Linked DNA regions of Lepisosteus oculatus. The protein of the gene in region 2 purifies or fractionates together with the protein of the main gene of each other region. This does not show direct contact. Links are inferred from orthologs where the notes say so. Each region holds a gene or a part of one and is shown on either strand. Other genes may lie near its edges. The genes, in order: exosc10, exosc5, zinc finger C3H1 domain-containing protein and hbs1l.

Region 1 (7,562 bases), on a different chromosome or scaffold from region 2:
TGGCAGATTCCAAGCAATACAATATAAAGGTTACAAATAAGAGCATTACAATCAACTCCTCTTAGACTTAACTGGTTAGTTTTAGGCAAATGCCTTAAAGCAATACAAGACACGATAAAGTCCACTCCACGGTACACTTGTTTTATTTTACAATGGTATATATATCCAATAACCACTGGCTCTCTCACATGTCATCTAGATGCTGCTGTGTTCTCTGCTGGTGGATAAAATCTGCCAGTGCTGGAGGCACATCCAGATCTTCAGGCCTCTCCTTGCGGATTTTTTGGTCTGTAAAATCTTAAAAAGACAAACGAGTAAAAAGAATCAGACCTACAATGTCAAAGACTGATCATCATACCTGCATTGCCTCATACAAATTCCTTTTCCAGATGACATTTGCAAGGTCAAAGACGCTTGGGACCAACTTACACGTTGGAAGGGATTTCAGCGCGTTGGGTTTGACGAAGATCTTGGGGACGAAGGGTGTGTTAGAATTGTCGACCTTCTCCCGAAACTTCAGCTGAGGACGCTGAATGTTTTTTGCGTGCAGAAGGCGAAATGTCTCAGACTTGGCCGCCTTGCTGGAATCCCTGCTCTAGGAATCAAGAGACAAGGGACTTTTGCTGGATGCTATTAAACAGAGCAAGTTATGAAAAAACAAAGGTAAGCACGAGACATCCACTTTTCTAAAGCCAGACAGACTGTGAATTGGGAATTCCGAACCCTACAATGGCTTTCCAAAACGGAGATGGAAGGGGTCTACTGTGGGAAGCCAGGAGTATGGAATTTACAGATTGATAGAAGTTCCGATTTATCCAACACCTGAAGCCTGTGAATTGGCTTCGTGAGTTCATGGTTAGCCATGAGCGGTCTTACCTTGCGGTTCCAGCTAGATACGATGGTCTTTGGAGGCTGAATACCAGCTGGTAAGATGGGCTGCTGGTTCCTGTTCACTCCTGAAGCCTCATCCAGTAGTATTCCCTGCAAAAACAACAACAGATATAATTTAAAGCCAATCATGACAAGTTAGATATATCAAGGGTTTGAGAAGAATATGCATTAAAAGAATTATACATCAACTCAGAATCAGCTTTAAGCAGGGCTCCTCAAGATTTGCAATACAAGTTATAGTTTAGTAACCAAAATGCTGGTTTAACAAACCTGGTTGGTGAAGGGTGCCAATTTGTTTTTGTGTGCTTTATACTGCTCTTGAACGGCTTTTTTACCAATTCAGCCTTTATTGTCTCATTTTACAGCACACTCCCAACAAAACACAATGACGGACAAAATCTTAGCAACCAAAAAGTCAGTGCAACAGTGTTACAGCTTTTAAAACTATCTCTGCCCTTCGAGCTGCTTTGATTAATCTGATAGTTGCTTTTTATCCAAAACGATTACTGTTTTTGTAAACGGTTCTCAGTTTTAAAGTTTGGACTCTCGTTCAAAGGAGTGAGACCCATGACCTTTTGGGCAGACCAGAGCCCTAAGCCTTCTACCATTCTGGACCTGGTTTTACATTGAAAAGGCTGTCCAGGAAAAAGATTATACTGTACCACTCTCTCCAGTATGACATCATTGGAGTCAACCAGCAAGTCGAATCTCTCCTCCAGGCCAGTCACTTTGTTGCGATCTCTCATGTGAGATTTGCAGCCATGGTACTGCATCAGTTGACTCATACTGCAAATACATCCATTACATCGTCACAAGCAATCTTAAAGACACTAGAAACACTTCAGAGATTTACAATGTCTCTGTATATTTTCATGTATGAATTCATGTACACAATTATATGCATGCATGCATAAGCTGATAATGCAAATAAAACTAATAACACAGAGAGAGCTTCAGACAAACTAGTAAAAATCTGACTGATCTAAACAGCACTTCACTACTACCAGATCAGCTACTGACGTAGCTAGAAAGAACTCCTAGGACTGTACACGCATGAAGTCGCTTTTACACAGGATCTAAACGATACAGTTATTAATTTCACCAGCATCCATTCAATGCTTTTTATGTTACATACTGAATCACATTTACTATAACTGCCTACCATTGCAAAAGTCTTTCTCCCTGCGTTTCGCAGAACTCCTGGAATCCGGGAAAGCTCCGGTAGAAGTCGAATTCGTCCCCAGCCTGCGGCAGATTTGCAGAAGCTTTCGTGGCCGCTACTACAGTTCCCAAGCCGTGCTGTAAAACAGATTCAAAGAGCCACTTGTCAAGAGCAGCCAGTCAAAAACCAATTGAAACTAAACAACCGAAACACGATACAGATGCGTATGCTCGTACAATTTAAGGTTTATACTCCACAACGGCAGTGCTTCTTATCGAGCATATCACACTGTGGATTTTGCACACTTTTTTAATGGTACTTCTTAAAACGTCGGGAAAGGTAAAACCAGACATTTCCACGTTAACAGCAAAGCTCGTTGCATTTTTAGGGGGAACGCACGGAGATAAAAATCTGCACCTTGTGGTATAATACTTAAAAAACGGTAGCCATCACTCATAGAGCCTTATAAAGCGTGACTACTCTGCACCTTAATCACACCGTCTTTTTTTATTAATTACACCGTTTACAGCTGAGCTGGTAAACACGCCACTCGTGAACCCTTATTCACCCACAGGCCTTTATACGAGAATGACCGGGGGTATTCACCAATAATTCGTCCACAAACCTTCACAAATGAATCGGCATCCTTAAAGCCGGGCAAAAGTTCTGGTTTTTCGCCCTCTGCCTCTTCGTTTGTCGGAGAAATATTATTTCCCTTGCCTCTGCCACTCCTGCTCGTGGACGCTGCCATCTTGAAAATGTTAAAGTCACGCGAGACGTGGACTCCTCTTAGGGGAGGGGGAGGAACCGGGCGGCATGGCCGAAGAAAATAATAAATAATAAGACCAACAGTACCTAATCAAAGTATGATAACAATAATAATCCCTTGTATTTATATAAAACTTTCATTTCAAAGTGCTCCTCCGCCGCCACCACTCTAGAGCAGCACTCTTTTTGAGTAAAACGAGACAACGATTCGACACCAGCAGATTCGATACACAACAGACATCGCTATGAGGTTCAGAAATAGGTTTACCACATAAAGCCTACAATGCAACTTTATCAGGACAGTGGGGGTAATGTCCCTTCTCATTTATTTCGTGTTAGGTGATTTATTTAAATTACATATTGGATAAAGCTGCTTTTGCTTTCAAATCTACATTTGGCCAACCAATGCAAAAGTACAAGATTGAAGAAAAGTCAACCCAATAGTATTCATATGAAACGCATTTACTTTTTAAAGTTACAATTCAGTAATACATTTTTTTAACAAAGGAACACACAGAGTATGCAAATGTCTTTTTTTATCTACTATTTATTGCCAAAGAAAACTTACAGTACATTACAGCAGACTGATATTAATTCAAAAGTTTATGGTGAGTAAATTAAATTAAATTTAGTTTATATTTAACTCATTTTAACAGTACGCAAGTGGCATTTCACAACATTCCAAGTCCACAGCAGTAACCTCATTTGAGTTCAGTTTAGGTTTAAATTGCGTTCAGGGCTTTCAAAATGTGCCATTAACACTGCTATACGTCTCCATGTCTGGAACTGCGGAGTCTGTTTTGTGGTGATCGGCATGGCGCCAAGTGTTAGTGAACGGTGTAGAGAGAAAAAGATGTAGGAGCTCTGCTACCAAAATGGACACCTGTAGGAGGAGAAAAGGAAAAACAAGTCAGATGCCTCAGATTGCAGATTTCCTTTTGTTCAAGGGGAGATTTGATGTGTCAGCTTGCTTTTTCTGCAGAAATACAAATTCTTTCAGTACAAAAAAATCCCAATAAAACAAAACCTAACTCCTCGTCGGAATCCCAGTCTTAACCTTTTGTAGGCTTCACCTCTGTCTACAGAAGGGCAGAACTCCTAATCCCCAGACACAGTATTACACAACAATCCTTTAGTTTGCTTTGGTATATTTGGTATATTTACCACCCTGGCCGAACCCTTCTTGCCTACATCATCTATCGTTCTCCTACAGTGACAAGCTGTTGTCTGGACATATCTGAAGAACCACACCCCAATCTGTCAACTGGGGATTCATGTAGGCACCAATAGTGCTCACCATCCAATATAGCATTGGCACAGATTCTCGTGGGAGGTCGCTTGCTTGATTAGGAGCTCCACTTGAGTTGGGACGTCCAGAGTCTCATCGTGGGAGAAATCCCGACCTGAGAGGGGACAAGCAGGGAAGCATCAGAAGCCATCCTTCAGGACTCCAGGAACAGCGAGTAATTCATTTTAATCTATGTGTCATATCAAAGTGGGGATGAGGGCTAAGTACTTATTTAAAACCTTTAATATCAATTTCAATGCAACATCATTTTTTTTGTTTTTCAATGTGTGTCCACTTTATCATTAATTTTGGTCAAAGTTGTTGCTGCGAAACAGCTGTTCTAGAGTGCAAGAACAAAGCTGTACAGATGTAGACCATGGATGTCCCTCACATGAATAAACAGCTTCCAGGCTTTTATTCATGTGAGGTGGTGTCACCCTTCAGACTACATGACTGAACAAATATTTCCTAAAAATGAAAAAATCTCTGTGGATTTTCTGGGCTGTGCTTTTCTCATGTAATATTTTAAAGATAAGTTGTTTTATTCCCAGATGGGGAGTTCCTGTTTAAGAGATACACTCATATAGTACTTCACCCACATTGTTGGAAAACAAGTTTGTTCACCAATGTCTAAGCCTGATTGTTCCAAGCTTTGATGGCATTTTGACTGTGCTGTACTCACCGGTCAATTTGTCTCTGACTCTGTTGATGATTTGAATAGCTTTTTTGTTCAGGGCTTCAGGCTGCACTAGGCCATCTCCAACTGAAAGGGAGAAAACATTTTAGATTCAGTTCTCAAAAACATGTGTCCCCATTATCTTGCTGAATGTTTTGGAAAATGCATTGAAATGTTTGACAAAAGGAAGTTGGTTCAGCCAAATAAAGTAGGACATTTTCTGCATTCTATTAAGTTAAAGAATGCCAGTATTGTGTTCCTTCTCCTACCTTCTGTCACGCTGTTGACAAAAGGTCTTTCTTCATGTGCTATCAATGAACAATTCAATTTGTGGTGTTAGAAATGGAAATGTTTTTTTAAGACAGAAGACAGGCAAAGGCAAACTGAAACGTTCACTGTTGTTTTGGTTTTCTGATCCACGCATCTGTGGTAAGAATTGAAAAAGAGAAGCTTGTCTCTTCTTGGGAACAATCTTTTCTCAAGCTCTATGGTCTATGACCAGATAGCAGACACGCCGGTATTCCTGCGAGTCTGAACTCACTGAAGGAGTGAATGGATTCAGGCACTGTGGTTCCTGGCTTCTTGTGTGTCGTTTCACCAAGCTCAATTCCCTCCAGGGCTTCTGAAAATGAAAGAAAGCATAGAATATTTTTTTTTTCGGTATGAAGACGTTATTCTGACCGTTTCTGCACCCTACACCCCATTTGGATTCTCCCACTCTGGAATGCAGATCCTTCTTAGGGAAAGCTAGAAATAAGAGTTCAATCAACTGACCACCATGGCTCGTTTGACATGAAGTTTCTTCTTGTTCCAAAGATCTCATCCAACTGTTACTTGAAAGAAGTCAGGCTCCATAACCTGGCTGGGTAGCTTGCTTTACTCTTTGAGTAAAAACATTCCTCCTTGTTCTTAGTTTTTAAATGGTTTGATTGGGTCAGTGCCTTTGAAAACCTTGAACATTTCTATCAGATCCCCCCACGGTCTTTTCTGTTGCACATGAAAGAGATTCAGTTCCTTCAGACTGCCAGTGGAGGACAGTTCAGTCCCTCAAGTCCCAGAAGGTCTCTGGTTGCTCTTCTCTGGACAGATTCCAAAGCAACAATATCTATTCTATAACAATATTCTCAATGATACATTTTTACAGTTTTAACATAATATCCTTTGATTTAAATTTGACACTTTTAATTACATAGATTTGATCACCTAATGATTCATCGCCATAAACACCCATATCCAAGGAGCCCATGATATGGCCTTAAAAAAAGTTTGCTTTCCTTCAGTAGGCTTGCTACAGAGCAGAGGCACAAGCAAACCAATTTAATATTCTCCCTCTAGTCCTCAGAAGGCTGAGAGTGAGTGCAGAGCCATGTACTGATTGCCCACCATATTCACCAGGTAACATCCCAATTGAACACGTCCTGAGACCAACCTCTCTGCTACAGTGCCACCCCTCCCAGCCCTCGTGCTCACCTACGGACTGCCCCGCGGTGTAGGAGTCGGTCCTCGTCCTGGATCGCTTATTCCCTTTTGTGTTCGCTGTGGACAGAACCGAAGAGCTGTGAGCGAGTTCAAGGTGGTACTGGTGCAAGAGGTCATGCACAGGCTACTACCAGAAATGAGAAGTTCTCACACAGTTAAATTTAAGATGCAACTATGGCTAAAAGCATGTGTACTTTATGATAGGCAACACATAAAAGACACACAGAAGACTACAATTTCCTGAACGCTCCCATGATAAAGATTTAAAGAGGATGTTTTCTGTGGGTAGTCAGGCTGGCGGACCGGTTGGCCCCGGGGCCTGAGCTGCGGGTCCCTTACTGTCCATGAGCCTCCAGTTGAGCAGGGGGTCGTAGACGAAGGCCTCCAGCACGGCCATGACGCTGTCCCTGTGCTCCCGCAGCACCTCCATCACCGTGTGACACGTGATCCTGTAGTTCCCATCCAGGCCCGTCACCTGGACGGCAAACACGGAGCGGAACACCCTGAGACCCCAGAGCACGGGCTGGCCCGCATCCCTGGACTCACCAGTCCTGCTTCTAACAGCACCCTGGTTTTCTTATTGACCTCTCTGCATGGTGCCATCAACATCAGTGCACGCACAACACAGTTGTTACTGTGTAACATTCATTTATTTTGCACTATAAAGATTTTTTTAACCATTTCCCCCCCCCTAAATACACCCGCTCACCTCCATAGCATTAGTAAGCATCCTGGTCAGCCTGAAAGGAATTTTCTCCGGGAATTTCTCTCTGGTCATGGCGACCTGTCAACCACAGCAACACGTTAGCGTTAATATCTCCTTCACTCTGTTCCTTGCAGGAAAGAGCTCTTCTCTTCCCCAGCAGACACAACGCCTACACTGCCAACAGTGGGTCCTTCCCATATCATCTCTCCACCTCTTCCTATCACTTTGCGCTCTGCGGAGTAACGAAAATCATTCACAAACCCACCTCAAAACAGTCGCCAAAGTCGATGTGGAGGATCTTCCCACTCAGTCTGTCCAGCATCAGGTTGGAGGGATGCCTGGGGATTATGTTTAAGGGGATAGTAATGGCATCATGTCTTTGCTTTAATATGCCATTGCAACAGGAGTAACTCTAGCCTTGTATCTGTGCTGGTTCCACTGGGCGAAGTTCAGGCACGCGCTCGACTGAATGCAAAGCCATACTATGACTAACGAACCCAGCAGTAAGTCCAGGGCTGCATGCAGAAGTCATAAAACACGTACAGGCCGGACAAAAGAATAATGCAAAAAATTGACCATTTAATAAAAGCAA
Region 2 (7,438 bases):
GGAGCGAGGTGCAATGGGGCACACAGTCCAGGTTACAGTGTGGATGCTTAATCACGCTGTGGACCGTGTGGAGCACGTTTTGGAGTGTGTATGCGTCACCCACCCAACCACATCAAGGACTGCAGAAGTACAGCAATAAAAGACTTTCTAATTGACTTTCTCCTAACGAGGTTGTTAAGAGAAGGAGAAATTAACTTCACAGAAAAGGATGGAAACCACCTGATCCTGAAACACACTGCATGGGGACATGCTGTATCAGACAGGTGAGAAAGCCCAGCAGTGTGCTGAGCTGCTGTCCGTACTGAGCTCAGGGAAGGCTGAATCTGCACAGGCTGTCTCTCGCTCCCCTGATCCCACAACTCTGGGGTGTGGCTGGGAGCTGCTTGCATCCCAATGTTGCCCTGGGCAACCAGCGCATTCGGACAGACTCCTGGCCTCCTTCTGACCCCGTGTGACCTCACTCAGGACGAATCTCCCCAGGGCCACTGATGCTTCTTCAATCACACAGACCCTCCCAATCTCAGTCAGGCCCCCGAGCAGACTGCTTCAGCTGATGGCATTAATTCAGATAGCTGTACTCATGCCAGCCTCCTGCTGCATCAGGGCACCCTTCTTCGTGCTCCGTAATAATTCAGACAGCTCCATTTTCAATCAGCCTGCACCGCTACTTCATCCTCTCTCGTTAAGGCCTCGCTCCCGCCGAGCCCTCCTGGAGACTTTCAGGCTCCTCTGAGGACCTGCGCGGGCAGCTCTGCCTGCCCTTTCACCATGGCCCCAAGAGCTCAGCGACCACAGCCAGACAGCAGCAGGACGAAGGGAGAGAAGACCACGGAGAGGAAAAGGGAAATGAGAGCTGTGGAGCTGAGAGACAGAGAAAGGGGGAAGGAGAGTGTGGGGAGGCGGAGAGAGACAGTTGGGAGGCAGCGAGAGACAGAAGAGAGGCAGAGAGTGGCAGTAGGGGGCCGTAGAAAGGCAGAATGAGACAGGAGGGAGGCAGTAGAGAGGCAAGAGAGAGGCAGTAGGGGGGCAGAGAGAGGCAGTAGGGGGGCAGAAGGGAGGGGTTGGGGCACAGAGAGGCACAGAGAGAGTGAGATGAGAAGCAGCGATGAGGGAGGAGTGAGAGAGGACAGGAGAGGGGAACAGGAAGAGAAGAGTGGGACTCGTGTGGACAGAGGCGGGTGAGCAGGCACCTGGGGGTCCTCGGCCGGGTTGATGATTTGGCCCTGCCTGTCCATCACGCGGTACACCGGGATGCCCGAGATGACATTAGGCTGGATGAACTCCAGGTGATCCACAAAATCCGCGGACGCCCCGGGGAACTGAGGCTTCTCATCCAGGGAATCGAAGGTCTGCTGCCTCAACACCGCCTGGAAGGGAAGAAACAGACATTAATAATGGACACAGAGCAATTCAAACATGAACAGTCCGCACTCCTGCACACTGACAGCACAGAGAGACAGAGGGGTTAAAACACACACAATCCACACTCCTGCACACTGACAACACAGAGAGACAGAGGGGTTAAAACACACACAATCCACACTCCTGCACACTGACAGCACTGAGAGACAGAGGGGTTAAAACAAACAAATTACATAGTTGCACGCTGACACTACATTATTCAACGAGACCAACTTATAGTGTTCGGTTACTATTATTTTATTAAAATAATAATGACGACAGGGGTTTGGGAAAAATCCGAGATTCACGCACACCTCATCTTCCCTCGGCAACCGAACACATATTTAAGGTGACCCTATTTTACAGGCGAAACGCCTCCGCCCCCTAAATTGACCAATCAGCAGCCCAGACCACCCAGCCTCGAGCCAAAGACTCGAGGTGATCCCAAAGTTATTCTAACAACTCACAATCTCGGAACAACACAAGCGCTTTTGCAGATAAAGCGATATCAAGACAGGCTTTCCATTTATTAGACTGCTGTGTGTACACGAACTGTGTTTTTGTATATATACGCAGTTAGTCAAAGCGGTGGATTGTGATGTAGAATCCATTTAGCAGTACAACGATAAACACATTTCAGATAAACACAATCGCACTATAAAGGTAGCCTTGTGCGTAAAAGATGACAAAAGCAGACTTTTTTCAATCCCGTCATTATAGTAGTAATCATAACCTCATCACAATTTTCAAGACAACAATATCAACAACAACCATATTAATAACAACAATGCAATGTATATATTCACAACTAATAATAATAGCAATGAAACGTAGCTCTATTATTAATCTATACATGTTAAAACACCTGTCTGATTACTGCAAAAGCCGCAGTTGAAAGCCGTATTGAATTTCAGTGAACGTGGCTTCTCCACGGTTTATCGACGGGATTGGCCGTGAAAGGGGGAGAATCGTCACTCACATTAACACGGAAAGCCCTGCCCGGGCAATGTCGTAATTTGGGATAAAATCCGGTGTTGTGACAGATTGATTTGAATCCGATTCTGCACAGACTCCTGAGACCTCCAGCCGCCGCCATCTTGGATCTTGGGTCTGACAAGCTGCCCTGTGGAGCTCCAGGCACCTCAATCGTCAAGGTCCCAGAAAACACACGAGTGGCAACAAAAAAACTCAAAACAACTCAAAATATGAAAGATGGAGACATATATTTATTTTCATTGCGTAAAAAATAAGTTTATTAGTAAATCATGTTTATAAAAGAGCGCTAAAAGGCGTGTCGTTGATTATCTGCTTTGTTTGTATTCAGGCATCGCTGTAGCCTTCTATCACGACTTTCATGGATGGACCCAATTACTAGGCGCTGTGCGTCACGTGATTCTGTAAGCGGGTTTTTCTTTTATTTCTTATTTAAATACAAAAAAAGAAACTACAACAAACAAGGGTATGCACATTCAGATGTCACAACATGACAGCACAAAGGCAACATCTAATGAATGGAACAGAATAACAACTCCATGGCTAGCAGCCCTATCACCCTGCAGCTCACAACTGGCAGCCCACTGGAGCTCAGCAGGTGTGAGCCTGATCAGTACCTGGATGAGAGACCTCCTGGGAAAGCTAAGGTTGCTGCTGAAAGAGGTGTTAGTGGGGCCAGCAGGGGGTCTTCGTAGTCTGTGTGGGTTCTAATGCCCCAGTATGGTGATACTGTAAAAAGGGGACATCCTTCGGATGACATGTAAAACTTAGATCCTGACTCTCAGTGGTCATTAAAAATCCCAGGGCATTAGGTTGTTACCCTGGCGTCCTGGCCAAATTTCCCCCTGGCCTTTACCAATCACGGCCTCCTAATAATCCCCATCTCTGAACTGACTTAATCACTCTGCTCTCCTCCCCACCAAAGCTGGTGCGTTCTGGTGCATCATCCAGGTGGGGCTGCACACTGGTGGTGGTGGAGGGGAGTCCTCATTACTGTGAATCATTACCTTCTAAATCAGTTAAAACGTTATCAACAGTACAGAGGTTGCGTGGTGTTAGGGGTCACATTAAATAATATGTTTATATGGTAAATGATTTCTGTAAACCAACTCACCAAGCATATTTTTAAATATTTTTAATGAATCTGAGTATAGCTTAAATGAATTAGAATTTTTTTAAAGCACTGTGGTCTTTATACAATACAGTATAGTATTTATAAATGATCCTTCAAAACAGATATAAAGTTCTGAGCCACAGGTCAGTTGGAGCTGTTCGAAGCTAATTGCTTACAGTATATACAACATTGTTTTGGATTGTTTTAAATGTTAAATTTAGATTTTGATATTATTTTATATTTTATTAGACCTGATTTGGATAAAGGATATGTTTTTATTATTAATCGGTTAATTATTTTGGCAAAATACAAAATACATCCAAAAAAAGTAAATGGTCTAATACTGCTCCCTCTATTAATACTTTCAAGGTAGAAGTCCTTTTTTATTTAAATTCTATTAGAAATGTTAAAAATCAAAAGGCAAGACATTCAATGGAATTATGTAAAAAGTTTAATTTTCAGCTTTTATAATTGTGAATTCCTCTGGCTGTGAAGTGTGTCTATTTTTGTATCTGTATTAATATTTTGTCTCATTTTTGTATTCCTGATGCTTAAATAAAACATTAATACAATAAAAATGTTTTTGACTATTTCTAATTGCAGTAGAACATCCCTCTGAGAAGCATCTTGACTCTTATAAAATAATAATGAAACAAATATGGTGTTTAAAAAAGTTTAACGATTTAAATGATAAAGTGATTAAAAATATCTAATATCTAACTGAATTTCAGATCTGTTGTTTTTACATAGGAATTGTTCAAAAACATAAAAAATGTACAAAAACACTAGCAGTATTCACAGAAAATGTGTCTGTCAATTTGACGTTATAGGTTTAAATGGTCACAAAATTCAGCACAGTGGTGAACGTCATTTACCAGCGCCTTTGTTTAAGATTCTGGAAGGGCTCTATTTAGTGACGTATTAGGTCTGCGCCGCAGAAACACCGCACTGCTTGGTACACACGATGGAAGTGGAGGAGAGCTCGACTCACCCCACCACAGCTCTGAGGGAGTTCGGCTGCGAACAGAACCTGCTGTCAAGACCGGATGGTTCGGCCTCGTTCGTGCAGGGTATGTTCATGCTTTACATTTTTTTAAAAAAGGATTTAATTGCAAGCGCTGTCTTCACGCGAGTCCACTTGGGCACAAACAAGGTTTCGTTGTTTCTTCCCTCATGCTTCATTTTTATCTGGTTCTGAATGAGTTCGGAAGGTCCTCTTCTAGCTCTATAGTGCGTTTGGGCCCTATGTTATGCACTCTCTGTGCCCGTGCCGCTGTCTTGACCGCTCACTCTGTGCCCGTGCCGCTGTCTTGACCGGTCACTCTGTGCCCGTGCCGCTGTCTTGACCGCTCACTCTGTGTCTGTACACATGCCGCTGTCTTGACCGCTCACTCTGTGCCCGTGCCGCTGTCTTGACCGCTCACTCTGTGTCTGTACACATGCCGCTGTCTTGACCGGTCACTCTGTGCCCGTGCCGCTGTCTTGACCGCTCACTCTGTGCCCGTGCCGCTGTCTTGACCGCTCACTCTGTGTCTGTACACATGCCGCTGTCTTGACGGGTCACTCTCTGTGTGTGTGTCTGTACGTGCGGCTGTCTTGACCGCTCACTCTGTGTGTCTGCAGGAGACACCAGTGTCCTGGCTGGGGTGTACGGGCCAGCGGAGGTGAAGGTCAGTAAGGAGATTTATGATCGGGCTACAATGGAGGTTCTGATCCAGCCGAAAGTGGGCCTGCCAGGTGAGAGCTAACCGCCTGTCTCTGCTCTGCACACACCACACTGCATCAGGGTATACAGGCGGAGAGTGTTGTGTAGCGCTGACCAGCAGTGCGCTGTATTCTTTATTATCTTCAGCCATACTCTCTTTGTCTGCAGGCCATACGCACCAGCAGTACCACCTTGCAGTCTGCAACCTTATCTTGTCAGGTCTTAGAAACTAAGCAAATCTGGAACTGGACAGGACAGTGATGGGAAAACAAGGCTTCTGCAGGATGTAGCACTTGCGGACCAGTAGGGGGAACCCTTCCCTCTTCAAGTTAATTTCCAATACAAAACTAAATGTTTCATTAAAAAAGTCCTAGCATGCTGACAGGGGACACTGTGCAACAGGAGGTTCTGTCCGTCTGGTGAGATTTTAAACTGAGGTTCTGAATACTTGATTGTTAAAGATACCTTGTACTGTTCATCTCAGTAGATTAGTTAACACAAGAGGTTTGACCAAATTCCACTCTGGTCTGAAACAGTCTGCCCTACTTAAAGTTCCCCTTTATTCAGCTGGTGAGGTAGTTTCTCTCTCCTACTGATGTGCAGTTATATATGTTGCACTTTGGGATGAAAGGCTCAACATTGTGTAATAAACACATGACTAAACTGACCCTGACAGTGTGGAGAACACCCCCAGAAGAAACATTTGATGTTTGCAATATCACCTTGCAAGTGTTAGATGTCCAATACTACTGTTCGCCACAGTGTGGCAGCAGCTTCATGTATAATAACCAAACACTGATCGCTACCCTGATGGGCTGCATTAACCCTCTGCTGTCTGTGTCCTCCTCCTTCTCATCTCCTTCTCCCTTCTTTTCTTTTAACCCACCTCACCACTTTATTCTTTTGTTTCTCTCCATGTTTTTCTCTCTTTTATCTCTGTCCCGTCTCCCTCCTTCTGTCTCGAAGGTAATGAGAGCTCTAGCAGTGCAGGGTGTGGTTCACAGCTGCTTTGACGATTCAGTGCTTTGTTGTCTCACTTTGAAAATTGTCGTCCTTTGTTGCTCAAGCAAAAGCCTGGTGGTGGTGTTTTAAAGTTTGTGAACGAGAGGTTGTCAAGACTCTCTCTGTCTCTCCCTCTCTCCCGGTCTGAGTGTGCAGGAGTGGCCGAGCGCTCTCGTGAGCAGTGCGTGCGAGAGACGTGCAAGGCGGCTCTCCTCTCCTCTCTCCACCCGCGCTCCTCCCTCACCCTCGTCCTGCAGGTCGTCCATGATGATGGGGCAGTATCCTTCACAATGTGTCTGTGTGCAGGAAGACCAGTCTGTGTGTCTCTGTCTGTCTCTGTGTGCAGTAAGGCCAGTCTGTGTGTCTCTGTCTGTCTCTGTGTGCAGTAAGGCCAGTCTGTGTGTCTCTGTCTGTCTCTGTGTGCAGTAAGGCCAGTCTGTGTGTCTCTGTCTGTCTCTGTGTGCAGTAAGGCCAGTCTGTGTGTCTCTGTCTGTCTCTGTGTGCAGTAAGGCCAGTCTGTCTCTCTGAGTCCTGTTCCTTAGTGAGGACCCCAGCTGTTGGCGTGCAGTTTGAATGCTGCTTGTATGGCCTTGATGGACGCGGGACTGCCCATGCGCTGCCTTTTCTGTGGGGTGACCTGTGCCATTGACCCTGAGGGCCACATCCACACTGACCCCACTGCTGCACAGGAGAGGGTACTGTACAGTGCACAGTGTGTACAACCTTGTACATACACTGACCCCTCCAACACTGACTGCTTCACTGACTCAACAAGTGCCCCTAGACACTGGTCCGTACGGTGTATTGACTGGACCCCTAGGGATCCCCACACACTGACCAACACTGCCCCCCTAGTCTGAACCTCCTTTCCACCCATTTTTTTTATGTGACAGTCTCTCTTTCCCCATCTCTAAATCACAGGAGAGCCGCGCAGTGATGACATTTGCCATTGACAGTGCAGAGCGCAGAGTGATGATGTCATCGACCAAAGGGTCCTTCTCAGTGAGTGAGGTAAGCTGCTGGAGCTCTCAGTCTTGTGTTTGTGCACTGCAGCTCCTTTCTGTAATAACCCAGTGTCCTCTGCCTCTCCAGCTGCAGCAGTGCATCGCAGTCAGTCAGCGGGCATCAGGGAAGATCTTCCAGTTCTACAGAGACTCTGTCAGTAGGAGATACTCCAAGATGCTGTGACTCCGCCTCTGCTCCTCTCTCCCTTTCTGTGCCTT
Region 3 (7,374 bases), on a different chromosome or scaffold from region 2:
CAGCAGTACTAACAGCCACACTGCCATTTACTACATAATGCGAGTAAATCTTAGAACGTTTCTCCACTGGTGCAGTAATTAATTCAGTCATTTACTGAGTCCTATTGGAAATGTTTTTGAATTAATTAATACAAGGTGTAATCTGAAAAAACCTGTCTTCAAATCAATCTTGGCGATGATTTCATCACATCATGAAGAACAATGCAGGAAAATCTTGTCCAAGACACTCAAATGCTGTATGATTAATACAGCTTTGTGGTGTACGCAAAACATCTGTGGGAGAAATGCCTGCTAAGACTAAACCGAGTCGGACATCGTTGTGAATGTCATTCTGTGTTACTTACAGTATAAGGCAGGTCATCTGATTCTTTGCTGCTTTGATAAGAATTGTTTAAATCCAATTCCTCCTCATCTTCCTTATCTTTAAGAAAGAGAAACAAGCTTAACACTTCTCCCATTGGACTTGGTCAAAGTAAAAACAAATGACTAATCCGCACACTTTCAAGGCAGACATTACAAGTTCAAGACAGAGGCAATCCACAAATTAAACGGAATTGTAGCAAAAGACTGACTTATTAGGGTAATTATTAACATCTGTAAGGATGAAAAGGCATTACAAAGAGAACCATTAGAGTAATGTAGTAGAAATAAAAAAGGAAATGAGAAAAGTGGCATATCACACACACATCTCTAGTAAGTGGGAAAAGCCCTATGGTGTTTATATTTTAGCGAGGTCAAATAAAATGGTGAATGTGATGTACAATTATGTTAAGGTGGAATTTTCTTTACCTTTTATTGTGTCACTGGGCTCAAGGGGGCTTATTTCAGCGTTCTCTGACTTTTCTGCTTCCTTCGTGTTTTTCTTGTTCATCTCATCTCTTTCCATAGGGGTCAGAAGCTTCTGCCTTAAAGGTTTCAGGTTAAAAGCCTGAAAAACTTTGATTTCGGGCTTCTCCGGAGGTGGAGACTCTTTTATAGCAGCTTCCTTCTGAATACTGACCGTGCCTGAAACAGCCTGATCAACACTGGGGGCTCCTTCTACCTCTTTCTGAGGCGAAGGATCTTTGGAGCTCAGCGCCATCCTCTCCTCCTTCCTAATACATTCCAGCTCATGTTGAATTTGCTTATATTTCAAAAGCAAATCCTCAAAGCTTTCTTCAATACCATTTTCGGTTTTGGCAGTGTTATGAATGGGTTTCCTCACCTGAGGTCTCCCAAACAATTTTGCTGAGTAAAGAAGTGAAGGAAGATAAATATCTGTAAAACCGAATCAAAAACATGCTAGGTTTGCATTATATAACAGTTTTACATAGCAAATGTATTACTAACTAACCATTTGTATTATTTAAAATTGAGTGAGCACAAGTGGAAACAACATGCATTTAAAACTTGTTTTACAGTTATGGGAACATGGAACAAGCTACCCTGGCATGTTATTGAAGCCGATAACCTTGGTTTAGAGAAAACAATGGGATGAAATTAATCAATTAATAACTACCAGCTTGATGGGCCAAATGACATCTTTGTTCTTATAAGTGGACAGTTAATCCACAAGAAGAAAAGGTGTTCACAAATAATAGTCTTTGCTTAAAGGTGTCAACTGTTAGTGTTTTGATTATGAACCATTCATCTGTGATTGCTTTACTTTTCTTTACAGAAAGATGAAAGAACGTCTGTTGAACACATGAGCAGTGAGGAATTGGACCAATTTGCTCCAGGAAAATGCCCAGCTACGTGCATGGGTACAAACGTAATGTGCTTTTCAAAAAAACCTCAACCAAATATTCTTCCTCGCACTAGTTTGGGTTTGTGTGTCCGCTATCCTATACCGTACAACTCAAGGGGGTTGCGTTATTCCTGAAGTCGTCTGACTGTGCCAACAGCGGAAGTCAACTGTACAAACGAAAGAGGATTCTGCGCCTGTTAGGTGCTGACGTCGACCTCCGGTCTCGACGATTGTTCTTGAGCTGTCTGTTTAAAGCCTTGTAGCAGAGCTAACATATACCGTATGTATAATAAGAACAAAAGATACATTTTTGCAAATGTGGTCGGGGTAACGCCTAGAAACACGACCGGGACACAGCTCTTATTCGTCTTAGGAAAAGGAATATTTATAGCCACAGTTACCCAAAATGGTCACATTAACATTTCGAGTGTGGGCAGCGAATCTACAGAAGCCGGTCATCGCTTCAACATGTGCGATACGAATTGTAACACGCTGTACGATTCACTGTCCAGGAAAGTATAAAAATCAACGGGTTTTGAAGTCGGACTCGTACAGTGGCAACGAAGGACGGGCAAGGATACGCTTTCTTGGAGGGGACTCCTTCCTGATAGGTGCCCCGGCGAATCCAAGTCGACATGGGGGCGGCCTTCCAGTCCCTCTGCCCCCAACCCCCTCACCCCAACCCCCTCTGCCCCAGTCTCCGCGGCCATCGTTTGGCCTCCGGTACCTCAGCCTGCCCAGCGCGGTGTGGCTGCGCTCCCAGAAAGACGATCTGGGACCCGAGTCGCAATGCTGGGCTGACAGCGATCGGTCGGGGACGCCTGCTCCACTTTGCTGCCTGTGGCCAGTTAAGTTGGGGGGATGAGGATGGGGTCCCCGGTTGAACGGCATTTTCATTCGGAAGTCGAGGCCGGGTCCCCCCATGGGAGGCGGCGGTAATGTCCGCGGTCCGGGTTTGGGCTTCCGAGCGAAACGCCCTGCGCTGCTGTTACAGCTGCTGCTAGGCCTCTTGTCACGGCGCACGAATTGCCTTTCATCGGTGTCATCGTCGCTGATCTCCCCGTCCTCCAGCTCGCCTTCTTCCCTCGGAGACCGAACGCTCGAGCTCAGTTCCATCGCTATTCCCTACTGATGTAACTGCTCTGGAAGGCAGGAATGCTCCTGGGCCAGGTTGTGAAATCAGCAATTACAGACGTGCAATTCCCCAGCAGTCCCTATCTTCTTTCCTGGTCCGAGATCCGGCCTCACGTCGCTCTCTTCTATCGCGAGACTCGCAAGGAAAACCGAGTGTGCGCAAATGTCGTAGGAGAAGCTGCGTCTGCCAGCGTGTTAGACGTTTGCATGTTGATAGGCTGTGTGTTTCCAGCATGCAATGACAGACGCAGAAAGTTGCGATTTACTTGTGGCATGTAACCTTACTTTGGTATTTTTGGTTTTTCGTGTTCCTCAATAAAAGTGCTGAACTGATGCCTTAAATTCGTTCGTGTACACGAAGCAATTGTAAATTCCCGAACGTCATGTGTAGCATTGATGCAATGTTAACTGTTTTCCGTGATTACATTTTAACCTTATGGATTCTTGTTTCCATAAATCTTGCATGTTAAATTTTCCCGGGTATAGGAGAAGCTGCTCATTTAACCACATGAAGTAAAATATTTGAGCATTCCTAAATAACCTGAAAGACCTGACTTGAATGAGTTGAGAGCTCATTTACTGTCCCAAAAATTTACCCTGAAGAATATAACGGGACACTGCGAAAGTCGACATTTTTAGTAAAATATACAGTGCAAATCCGCGCAGCGACGTTTGACCGTATTGTTCAAAGTTATTTACACTTAATGAATCTTAGAGGTGTAGATGCTTTTATTTTTCCAATTATTTACTTCTTTGCGTGTCGTTTACTAACGATGAAATTAGTAAACATGTAATTATTTAAATCATTTAGAGATTTCCAAGAATTTTAAAAAAGAATTACATTATAACACAAAATACTATGGCAGAAAAATAATATTAGAATGGAAATGTTATATATTTAATTCAGTTCCATTCCAGTGTGGGTGGTTGCTATAGTTTCATAGTTCTTAGGTCCTTGGTTCAATTCTGGATGGGGTGAATTCTGCGTGGAATGTGCATTTTATCTTTGGGTCAGCATGGATTTACTTTAGGTGCTCTGTAACTATCACATGAATTGCCCCCTTTGTGGGGCATAATACAAAAGTATTAAGAAAAATATCCTCCAGATCTTTAGATAAATTCACACTAAAAACAGTTTATGAGACAGGTATTTTGAAAATTATTAACATGAAGCATGTTCTTTAAAAACGCCATCATAGATGGGCTTGGGGGAAATGTATCATGTTCCTGAACATTATACGTTACAGTACCTTCCGAATGTATTCAGACCCATCCTATGGTGTCCTTTTTCTAAAATCGCAAAACAATACACATTTTTTTTAAACCTAATATGTCATTTAAGACCTGAAGCCTCAGACTGAATATCTCTAAGGGTAGGATACAACACAATAAATGTCAGCAAACACTAAAGAGAAAAGAAAACTGAAATATGTTGACTGCATAAGTATTCGGACCTGTGAACTCAGTATCTGTTGGAAGCACCGTTGGCAACAAATACAGTTTCATGTTTAATCAGTTTGATCTGTGGCTAAGGATCTGCGCCTGTGGCTGGAAGGTTGCTGGTTCAAATCCCACAGCTGGTGGGGAAATCCTACTCCATTGGGCCCCTGAGCAAGGCCCTTAACCCCAACTGCTCCAGGGTTGCTGTACAATGGCTGACCCTGTGCTCTGAGCCCAAACTTCTCTCTTCCTGTCTGCCTCTCATGGAAAGCAAGCTGGGGTATGTGAAAAGATGAATTCCTAATGCAAGAAATTGTATAGGGCTAATAACGTGATGTTGTTGTTATAGATAGATAGATAATACTTTATTAATCCCGTAGGGAAATTGATGTGTTACAGCAGTCCAGCCCAAGACAAGCAAAACAGACATCAGAATAGTTATAAAACAAAAGACAAACAAGATAAATAAAAATAAATAAATACATAGGTGTGTGCAAAATGTGCTGATCATAGTCATTGTAAAAACAATAAAATATGTGCAAAATGTGCATAGGTTTATACAGACTGATTGTCCAAAAAGTACAATGGAGTAAACATGCTGTCCATAGAGGAGCAAATGAAGGGCTAACAGTCCTAGCCTAGGGCAGCGTTATACACCCTGACAGCCGCCAGGAGGAAAGACCTGCGGAAATGTTCCCTTGAACACCGTAGCTGGAGCAGTCTATTGCTAAATGTACTCCCCTGCCCAGTAACAGTCCTATGAAGCGGATGAGAGGTGTTCATGATGGCTATGAGCTTGGTCAGCATTCTCCTCTCAGCCACCACCTCCATGTTATGTTATGTCACCTCATGTTATGTTATGTCATTTTGAGTAAGTCTGTGTACAGTACCTTTGTGTACCTTTGTACACCAGCTTCATGGAATTTATGCCCACTCTTCTTGGCAGATTTGCTAAAGGTCTCTCAGCTTTCTTGGGTATTGCTTCTGTACAGACGTTTTCAAGTCTTTCCAAAGATTCTAAATAATTCTAAACCACTAAATGTTGCCTGCACATTGCCTTTCTATGTTCCCAATACTCTTGTCAAGCTTACTAGTCCCAGTTTATGAGAAGCAGTCACCATTACTTTCACTGGTAATAATGCTTTGAAAGCCTTGAGCAAGGCTGCTTGTTGTCAAAACTGTTATCTTGCTTCTGCTTTTTTCAAGAAATGGATATATGAGATTCTCCAACAATGTATTTGGTAGAATAAAAAATATACTGTAAATAGGCTGTCTGTCCTCTTATTTTTCAATCTTTTTTATGTTCTGTGAAACCCAGCAAGAGCAATATAGGGAATTTAATGATGATGGATTTGAAAGAATGAATTTGAATTTACAGTGCCATGCAAGAGTATTCAGACACTTGCATAGTTTTGACATTTTGCTGCTTTGTGGCTTACAGTCATTTGTTATATATACCTCTACACATCAGTCACAAAAAGAAAGAAGTCAATAATTAATATGAAAGACAAATGGAAAAGTTGTGACTGCATAACTATTCAAAACCATTGTTTGTACATTGTTTGTCATTTGTACATTGTTCGGTGCAAATGAATACCTTAATGTTCCAGCTAGGTGACTTAGAAGTGTCTCTTAGATTTTAGATAACGTTTGTGACACTGAGAAGAGAAAATACTTCTAATTATAAAGCAAAGAGGATGTTTGCTGATGTCTGGGGGAGGTCCCTTGGGCAGAAACAATGGTAAAGTTTACCTTAGTATACCTAGGGAAGTTATAAGAATAATAAACTTTATTTTATATAGCACCTTTAAAGGTGGCTTCTCAAAGCACTTTACAGAATGTCAACAACAATAAATGAAAAAAATACAATAAAGAAAACAATTACAATATACAGAAGAGACTGAGGATGGTAGTACTAAGAAAAGCAGAAGAATGGAACAGTTAAGTAAAGGCTTTTCTAAAGAAGAAGGTTTTAAGTCTGGATTATAATGAGTTTAGAGAAGGTGACTCTCGGATATCCTTAGGCAGAGAGTTCCAGAGCTTGGGCCCTGTCACCCATACAATGTAGACGGGCTTGGGGGACAGAAAGGAGACCAGAATTTGAAGAGCGAAAGTTGCGAGGTGGGGAGTAGGGCGATAATAGTTCAGACAATTATTGAGGTGCCAAGCCATGCAGAGCCTTATAAGTGAGCATGAGGATTTTAAAGTCAACACAGAATTTGACCGGAAGCCAGTGCAAGGACTCCCAGGACAGGAGTAATGTGAACACTTGCACTAGACCTGGTCAGGATTCTGGCTGCTGAATTTTGGACATACTGCAGTTTGTTCAAAGTAGATTTAGATACCCCAGTGAGTAGAGCATTACAGCAGAGAGAACACAAATGTGTTGATCAGCTTTTCAGCCACAATTAGTGACAGCATAGGGCCTAGTTGAGTGATATTTCTGAGGTGAAAAAAAGATGTTTTGACAATATGCCACAGATGTGGGTCGAATGTTAATCCAGATTAGAATATCACTCCAAGGTTTTTCAATTTAGACTAAGTATTTGAACCTTATTAGAGTGTGCTATTCTGTGTTTTTAGGGAACTTGAGTTTCCTGGGTAAAAGATACCTCAGTTAAAAACGTCTTTCCTGATTAGTGTGCATTTTATGGATAGGGATAAAGGCTCCCATTTATTTTGTGGCATGCAGGGTGCAAAGAGAGAGATGTAACTGCAGGTTACTTTGTATTTAGTTAGAAGGCAGCTCATTTCTTGTGTGGCGTCTGTAGGCATATTAAGAGTTAAGTGCTTAGTAGCAGTCTGGGGTTTTCTGGGTGACCAGAATGTTAGCCCTCTGAAACGCCTTGTCTGTAAATACTGTACATAATGTAACTTTGTGTGTTGTATGTTTTGTGCTGTGTAGTTTATGTGTTTTGTCATTGTAATAAATATTTGTTTATGTCAAAAATGTCAAAACTATGCAAGTGTCTGAATACTCTTGCATGGCACTGTAAATTCAAATTCATTCTTTCAAATCCATCATCATTAAATTCCCTATATTGCTCTTGCTGGGTTTCACAGAACATAAAAAA
Region 4 (6,923 bases), on a different chromosome or scaffold from region 2:
TAAACCATTTGAGAAAATGAACTTCTCATGTTCTCAAATTAATTCTCAAGTCATTACAGGTAATAATGAGGGAATATTATTCAGTGAATAAACAGTTCCTAATTACTATCAATATTTAAACAGGGTTTTAACTACAATACCTCTGTGTAAATATTTAGTTATTCCTGACTTTGTTGGAAACACTGAAGCAACAGTGTTCTGAAATGCAATTTAGTGAAAGCCTCAGATAGTAGAAAAAACTTTTTGCTGTCCGCTTATTCAGAATTGCACACACCAACTGCACGACTGAGGGTTTCGAAGTCATGAGAAAATCTAAGGTGTGACGCACGCGCAAAGAAATGTATTTTGCTTGCTGAATAAACAACAGAACGAATTAAGACAATACAAACATACCTCTGTCAGTTTTCACAGCAGACACATTGTCTTGCTGATTTCTTGCTGGTGTGTTCTTGCTTTCCCCAGAAAGCACTAAGTCCAGAGCCTTCTGTGGGTCAAACTGGCAGCTGAGTGCAGCTTCTACCAACACAGGATCAGGGATGGAATCGCCAAGCACTGTTCGCATCTGATCTAGACAGGAGTACAGCTGCCCTGGAAACAAGAAGTGTGTGAGGGAACTGTGCTGATCGCCTTTCATTAACATCAAGAAAATGTTATATGACTTGCAAACTGATAGCGTCATCAAATTAATGTCACATCTGTTAAAATCACTTGAGCTTTGTGTTATACCTTGAGAAAGAGTGTCAAGTTTGTGATGGTTCGGACTGGGAGAGACAGGCATTTCCTCTTCGGCCCCATACTCCTCCTCCAGGGGCTCTGCATAGGCTGCCTGCTTCTCATGTCGGGAGTAGATGAACTGGGCAGCTGCAAAACAAGCACACTGGGATATTAAGGGGGGAGACGCACAAAATCTATCATCCAGAATTTCCCGCCTTACGCATGCGCCATCATTTCATCTGCAGAAAACTGTGACACAAGAAGTCAAGCTGCCTCATTCCATGGTAGGGGATCGTTTTGTAACTATACTGGCAACAAAAAAATTCAAAACATTAAGACAGTGAACATCAACATACATGAGTCGCCACAATTCAATAGGTTACTTAGCATCCTTACACATGCAAATCATCTGTCCCTTTTCCATAAATTGCCTCTTCATTTCTCCCAAAATTCACTAAATTGATTTACTTTGTTGAATGTATTTACTCTCAAGGATACTCTGGACAAATCACACTAGTTGTCCAAAAATGATTTAAAACCTGGCTGAAAGATCCAAAACGTTTATTTACAAATAACACTAAGCATCTGAAAGTAAAAACTTACTGTGGACAGATAGCTTTAACACAGACGTCACACGTTTTAGTAAACTGTTTTTTAATTGTGTTCAGCTACAACTGATGCCAAAAGAGGTCAAATACCAGACCACTTGCAAACCCACTGCCACATTATTCCATTGTGAATGGATAATCCTACCAGGCAAACACGAATTTTAATAAATTGGTTGAGTAACTAGAGAGATGCAAGATATTACAAATGGCTTTGACCAATAAAAGATATAGACATTGCATACTCATCTACTAGCTCAGATGACACATCATCCCAGAATGCTTCTGTTCATTTGTCTTTAGTTTAATACTGATAAACCTGCCACACCAAAATATGACTTTATTCAAAACTGTAGTTTCTTGTTAAAGTTAAATAAGTATGCAAAGAAGACAATTGCATGTTTTAATACAATATCATGTGTAGAATCATAAAAATGCAGAATATCCAACTTTTAACAATCCATATTTACTGCCAAGAAAGAATTAAAAAAAGAAAAGTAATAAAAACCCTAAATGTGTGAAACATCACCAAGTCTTACCACAAACAGTGTGATTATGTTAAAACTATACTAATCAGAAATAGTTTCACACTTATCCATGCGCATCCATCATGTGTAGTTCATACTACACAAGATAAAAGCCAATGTTCAAAACATTACAAAACAAAATATGCAGATTTTTCATCCACTTAATTTAGGTTTTATATCGAATCCTTTGATTAGCTTTCAAATTGAAAATAACCAAGTTGCATAAACGTCCACATCTTCAATGAGGTCCATGTTCAACAAATACAGTGCTTAGACCACTAGAAAACCATCTAATCAAATCGGCAAAATCTTGATTCAGAAAACTTTAGAATTCAAGTTCAGACACATAAGAAACGCATCCCACAAACCTGTAGCAGGGGAAATGCAGTAGTCATCGTCCACGGACTGCCCATATAGATCATCATCTTCAAAATCTGTGTATACAAAACTGTAGCTGTGAAAATATCTAAGCATGGTACACTATGTATTATCTGTCGTTGCACACTGGTAGGTATTTGCAATGAACAGTTAAGTCTTATGACACAAATTGTGTTAACTACTAAAAGCACCTAAACACCAAAACTATTTACATAAAGCTACAGAAGTTCTATAATGTTCAATAATGACTAACGTACAGGGGTGTCCTAAACTATCAGTACTGCTAATTTGAAACGAGGAGGAGGCCAGGATGAATGGGGGAAATGTAAAACCACATGAAGTACATCTTGTTTTGCTTTTTAAAGGAAAGATTCAGTTTCATTCCATTCGCAAATTCGTACACAAAAGCGCTTTTATAGAATAACTACAGCTATTTTTATGTATCCGCTAGCTCGTATGTTATAAAACTTTCTGACTAAAGCGTTGGCCTGTGCCCAGCCTGTGGAAGGGACACGACAGCACTTCCATTTTCCTGACAAGGGAATATCACAATCTTACAGTCAACTTGGAAGAGCGTCTACCTTCGTCGTAGTTATAGCCCCGGACATTTCTGTGTCGAGACATTTTGGATTCTTTCCCTTCGCCCCTTTATAGGTGGTTAAAGATAAAACCGCACTGTTGGTGATAAATCAGCAATGTAACCGTAGCTGCTTCGTTTCATTTTCCAGCCGCCATGTTTGTTTCCACCGACGTCTCACTGCGCATTCTCCAAGCAAGCGCACTGCAGCTCTCTGCTCCAGCTCCGTTTTTCTGCCTGTGCCGAGTTAACCATTGAGACGCGCCGAAGTGAAATTAAGTTAGTTATTTCAAGCAATAGTCCTACACCTGCTCACCTAAATTGACATGTTACAGTCAATCTTTAGTAAATATTTGGGTCTGTAACACAATGAAAGTGGAATTCTGAATTCAATACTGCTGCGATCATAAACTGAAATATTCCAAACTATTGATCCACTGTACTCCAAAAAGAAAAAGAAAATACTTAAACTGGAAAAGACAAGCATGTTAGCATTTTAAGAAACTTGTTAATTTTCCAAAGATGCAATAGGGCTCTTTCTATTTTGTTCTTACTTTTACTTTCTCATGACATATGTTAGTGGGGGAGGAGGCAAGGGGGTGTCATGTTGTGTAATTTATGAAACCAAACAATCTGTGGCTGAGACTTTTAAGTCATAACAAAAGAGGACAACGATGCAGGTACAATCTGCCCTTTTAAAATGTGCTAAACGCGTTGTTATGGCCTGAACAGTTCATGAAGGTTAATAACTGTTTCACCTGCTGTTAACATTTTTACAAGGTTATGACAACAGCAAGCTGCACAAGCTGATCAATCACTTGTCGTAGGGAAAAACATCCTTTTGAAAATGTAGAAGAGACGCATATTTGGGGTTTCCTGCAGGTTACTCGGGCACAGGTTGAGTGTGTTTTGTATTGTCTGACTCAGCTCTTCTTAACCCTTTGTTTGAAAGGGAGCATAAACACACAATCCAGAGTTTGTGACTATATTCAGCACAGCTAAATTTCTTTCAAACAGCTAAATCCAGTTTGGTTCTCTTCGACAATCTTTGGAAAGTTAGACTGTAATTTTTATTGTTTCAAAGGTGTAATGAAAAATATTAAAAAGCACTTCAAAACACCGGAGACTAAGCTGTTTTACATACAGTACTAACAGACCAAACATAACTTGGGAAACATGGAAGTGAGAACCATTCAGGATGCAGGTCCTAGTCATCCGTAGTCTCAAAAGGTTTAGAAGTGAATTGAAGTAGCTGACAAGGGGAGATCTGGAACAATAACAACTTCTAGTGGTTAAGAGAAGGCTCAATCCAAATAAGTCAGTAAGAACTCTGCTGTGAGTTAAAACCAAAAGAGACTGTGGCTGTCAGGGACCAGGGTCACAGACCCTGTAAGGAGTTTGATAATGCAGTTCTTTCTCTGTGATAGCCTCTTCTCTCACGTTCTGGTTTTACTTGAATTACTTACAGTAAGTAAACTGGTATAATATCCATCTTTGGCTTAGGCCAGTAAAAATCATTTCGGTGTGAAATGAGCCCAGTATGTATGATGGGTTAACACTGGTAAAGTAAGCTACCATTAGTATTCCATTCCATTAGTTATAATTTAAGCGGCTCAAAACCATTATACTGATTACATACCCGTTATTTTAAAGAGATATTTTGTACATTGTCATGGCAGGTAACATTGATGTCTCATAGCCCTAGTCTGGCCTAAGGTGTGACTGTGTCTCCAGATTTTGAAATGAGTTCTCTCCAGGTGCTCTGGTTTGCTCCCAACTTCTAAAGAAGTGCTGCCTAGGTATTATTGGCTGTGCTAAATTTCCGCTTTCTCCATGATTCTGCAATGGACTCAGGTCCCGTCCAGCGGAAGGCAACTCATGTGCTCTTGGTCCTACCTGGATCCTACCTGGATCCCTCCCTCAAAGCTCTGCTTTGTTGTCTTGTGAAACAGCTTCTGGGATAGACTCCAGTCTCCAGTCTCCTGTCCTCTCATCGGGATAAGCAGCTTTCAGGTAATGGATGGTTCTCAAAGTGAAACTAAAATATTGTTCATTCAAAGCTTTACACCCTTGTAGCACAGAAGATCGTCAATATGAAGAACATGGCATGACAAAAATTTTAGCACACATTCCAGACATCTGATAAATTGCATGACATACAGTAGTTAAATTATTTAATTTCAGTGAACAGTCAACATGTAGCAGGAGACCTTCCTTTCAGGTAACTGCCAAAATATGTTTATTATGGTTTAATCTAAGTCCAAATTGAGTAAAATGTTTTAGTTACAGTGCACCCCTGATACAAATGACAGACCTCATTTTCTACTTACCAAAGCTTTGGAAAACAATACCGGTAGGTTTTGATGACTTGCACAGCCTACCCGATGTTTTAAACTACAGTTGGCACCAGCTGGACAGTCAGCTTAGATTGATATACCATAAAGTACAGTAGGTTTTACAGACACAAAAGTTGCAGGAGGAAAGAAATTGTCATGAGTGAAAAATTACATTTCCTCCTAAAATAACCTACAGTTTCAATCTATACAGTAAGGCAGAAATGAGTATTACTTAAAGGTGTTAAATAGTTTGCCTATGCTTACTTCTTTGGTTTCTTCTAAACATTTTGAACAGTCCCTCTCTGAACTGGTGAAGCTGAAGAGCCAGCAACATCAACATTATGTGACACAGCTTATATAGACATTGTTTTGAGAAAATAGTTCTTTTTGCTTGCACTGAGAAAGGCTAAGGTCTAAGTGTCCATTCACATAACAGCTGGGCATGTCGATGTCAGTGGAGCAATGACCTGACTGTTTTCAAATAAACATTTTTATAAGCAGCATCCACAGGAGATGAGACACCTTTTTGTGGACAGGTGTGCTGCATGCTGCAAGCAAATTTACAGATGTACCTTTTTCACTTTCTTCCTTTGTTCAATGTCATTGAAAGAAAAATCAGAAACCAAGCTCTGCTTTGTTGCCTTCTTAAACAGATAAAACATTATTATTTCTTCATCGAAACTAGAAGGGAAATTTGAACTAGGGAAGGATTTTCTTATTAAATCTGTGTGATATAGAAATAGGCTTAAAATCATAATGTTTGTACCCTAATCTCAATCCAGAATTTTAGAATTTCTGTCACATAAAATATACATTTCAAATAAAATCCCACATATGTATATTCAGAAGTATTTATTTTTTTGTCTAAAAGAAGATTATAGGAAGATTCTTCTTAAGGATGTTATAAAAGATTTTCAGTTGTTGTTCATTGCACTTAATGGCTTTCACAATACGATAAACTTGACAATTACTTTTATATTTGAGATATTAGTGGTAAGTGCTACTACAAGAATTCAAACGGACAGCAAGCACATTTTTGGAGATTCTAATCAATATGAATTTCAGATTTCAAAATGAGAAACTCTAGTTTCTTCTCAAACTAAGCTGTATTAATAACAAAGCTACTATAATAGTAGAACAGACTAATGGAGGCTTTTAGTAAATTGTTGATGCTCATAACAGATATATACATACTATTTTCTTATACTTCTGTACACAGCCATACAGTAGTATGCGGTATACTACTATTTTAAAGCATTTATTTTTTTAAGGTAGTATGTGGTATTTCCTAACTCCACTCATTTTCCTGAAAAGGTGAATAGTTTACTTGGCAAATTGCAGAAAAAATGAAAAATCTGAAATACCCACACTGTGCTAAAATTAATTAGTACAATCCTCAAACAAGAGTTTCTCAAATATATACAGTACAGTACATCACAATAGTTCCATATCATAAAGCTTTTCTATAATGTAGGCCTGTCATTGGCTTCATAACAGTTAAGACTTTGTGAACTGTTGATAGAGCATTTACTTCCATTTCTTATGAAGGATGAATCTCGGCACCACTTTAACAAAGTTTTGTTATATTCTTATTCTTCTTTTTCTTTTACTTCTTGTTGCAAGGGAAAAAAAGAAAATAATAATTCTATGTATGATCATTATGTATAAAAAAATTGAAGTATGCAGATTTTGGATTTTGACTGAATGTTTTGGTGTCATTTTGATAAAGTGACTGTGTTATGCTTCGTCAAATTTGTTAATGCTTTAAAATTGGTTTTGGGGCATT

Evidence for each region.
Region 1: the proteins of exosc5 (region 2) and exosc10 purify together in Homo sapiens (co-immunoprecipitation; 8 studies listed by BioGRID and IntAct, with this or other methods). This does not show direct contact. The link is inferred for Lepisosteus oculatus from reciprocal best matches to the Homo sapiens genes EXOSC5 and EXOSC10.
Region 3: the proteins of exosc5 (region 2) and zinc finger C3H1 domain-containing protein purify together in Homo sapiens (affinity purification with mass spectrometry; 3 studies listed by BioGRID and IntAct, with this or other methods). This does not show direct contact. The link is inferred for Lepisosteus oculatus from reciprocal best matches to the Homo sapiens genes EXOSC5 and ZFC3H1.
Region 4: the proteins of exosc5 (region 2) and hbs1l purify together in Homo sapiens (affinity purification with mass spectrometry; 3 studies listed by BioGRID and IntAct, with this or other methods). This does not show direct contact. The link is inferred for Lepisosteus oculatus from reciprocal best matches to the Homo sapiens genes EXOSC5 and HBS1L.

Annotation. Positions count from the first base shown.
Region 1 is NC_090720.1:2,766,160-2,773,721, forward strand, and holds the start of exosc10 (exosome complex component 10), read right to left. Parts: upstream 3,002-7,562; 5' UTR 2,805-3,001; coding exon 2,679-2,804; intron 2,191-2,678; coding exon 2,054-2,190; intron 1,678-2,053; coding exon 1,554-1,677; intron 982-1,553; coding exon 877-981; intron 596-876; coding exon 430-595; intron 298-429; coding exon 189-297; intron 1-188. Other genes in the region: serine/threonine-protein kinase mTOR, read right to left, coding at 3,689-3,704, 4,119-4,224, 4,792-4,872, 5,327-5,407, 6,256-6,321, 6,604-6,739, 6,974-7,048, 7,236-7,308. UniProt on the Homo sapiens protein: Catalytic component of the RNA exosome complex which has 3'->5' exoribonuclease activity and participates in a multitude of cellular RNA processing and degradation events.
Region 2 is NC_090698.1:6,249,038-6,256,475, reverse strand, and holds the start of exosc5 (exosome complex component RRP46), read left to right. Parts: upstream 1-4,438; 5' UTR 4,439-4,472; coding exon 4,473-4,578; intron 4,579-5,131; coding exon 5,132-5,245; intron 5,246-6,371; coding exon 6,372-6,493; intron 6,494-6,769; coding exon 6,770-6,910; intron 6,911-7,136; coding exon 7,137-7,226; intron 7,227-7,307; coding exon 7,308-7,403; 3' UTR 7,404-7,438. Other genes in the region: bckdha (2-oxoisovalerate dehydrogenase subunit alpha, mitochondrial), read right to left, coding at 1,191-1,367, 2,381-2,497. UniProt on the Homo sapiens protein: Non-catalytic component of the RNA exosome complex which has 3'->5' exoribonuclease activity and participates in a multitude of cellular RNA processing and degradation events.
Region 3 is NC_090702.1:22,679,745-22,687,118, reverse strand, and holds the start of zinc finger C3H1 domain-containing protein, read right to left. Parts: upstream 3,010-7,374; 5' UTR 2,843-3,009; coding exon 2,308-2,842; intron 1,228-2,307; coding exon 790-1,227; intron 422-789; coding exon 345-421; intron 1-344. UniProt on the Homo sapiens protein: Subunit of the trimeric poly(A) tail exosome targeting (PAXT) complex, a complex that directs a subset of long and polyadenylated poly(A) RNAs for exosomal degradation. The RNA exosome is fundamental for the degradation of RNA in eukaryotic nuclei.
Region 4 is NC_090697.1:50,019,632-50,026,554, forward strand, and holds the start of hbs1l (HBS1-like protein), read right to left. Parts: upstream 3,017-6,923; 5' UTR 2,849-3,016; coding exon 2,806-2,848; intron 2,281-2,805; coding exon 2,215-2,280; intron 862-2,214; coding exon 727-861; intron 589-726; coding exon 394-588; intron 1-393. UniProt on the Homo sapiens protein: GTPase component of the Pelota-HBS1L complex, a complex that recognizes stalled ribosomes and triggers the No-Go Decay (NGD) pathway.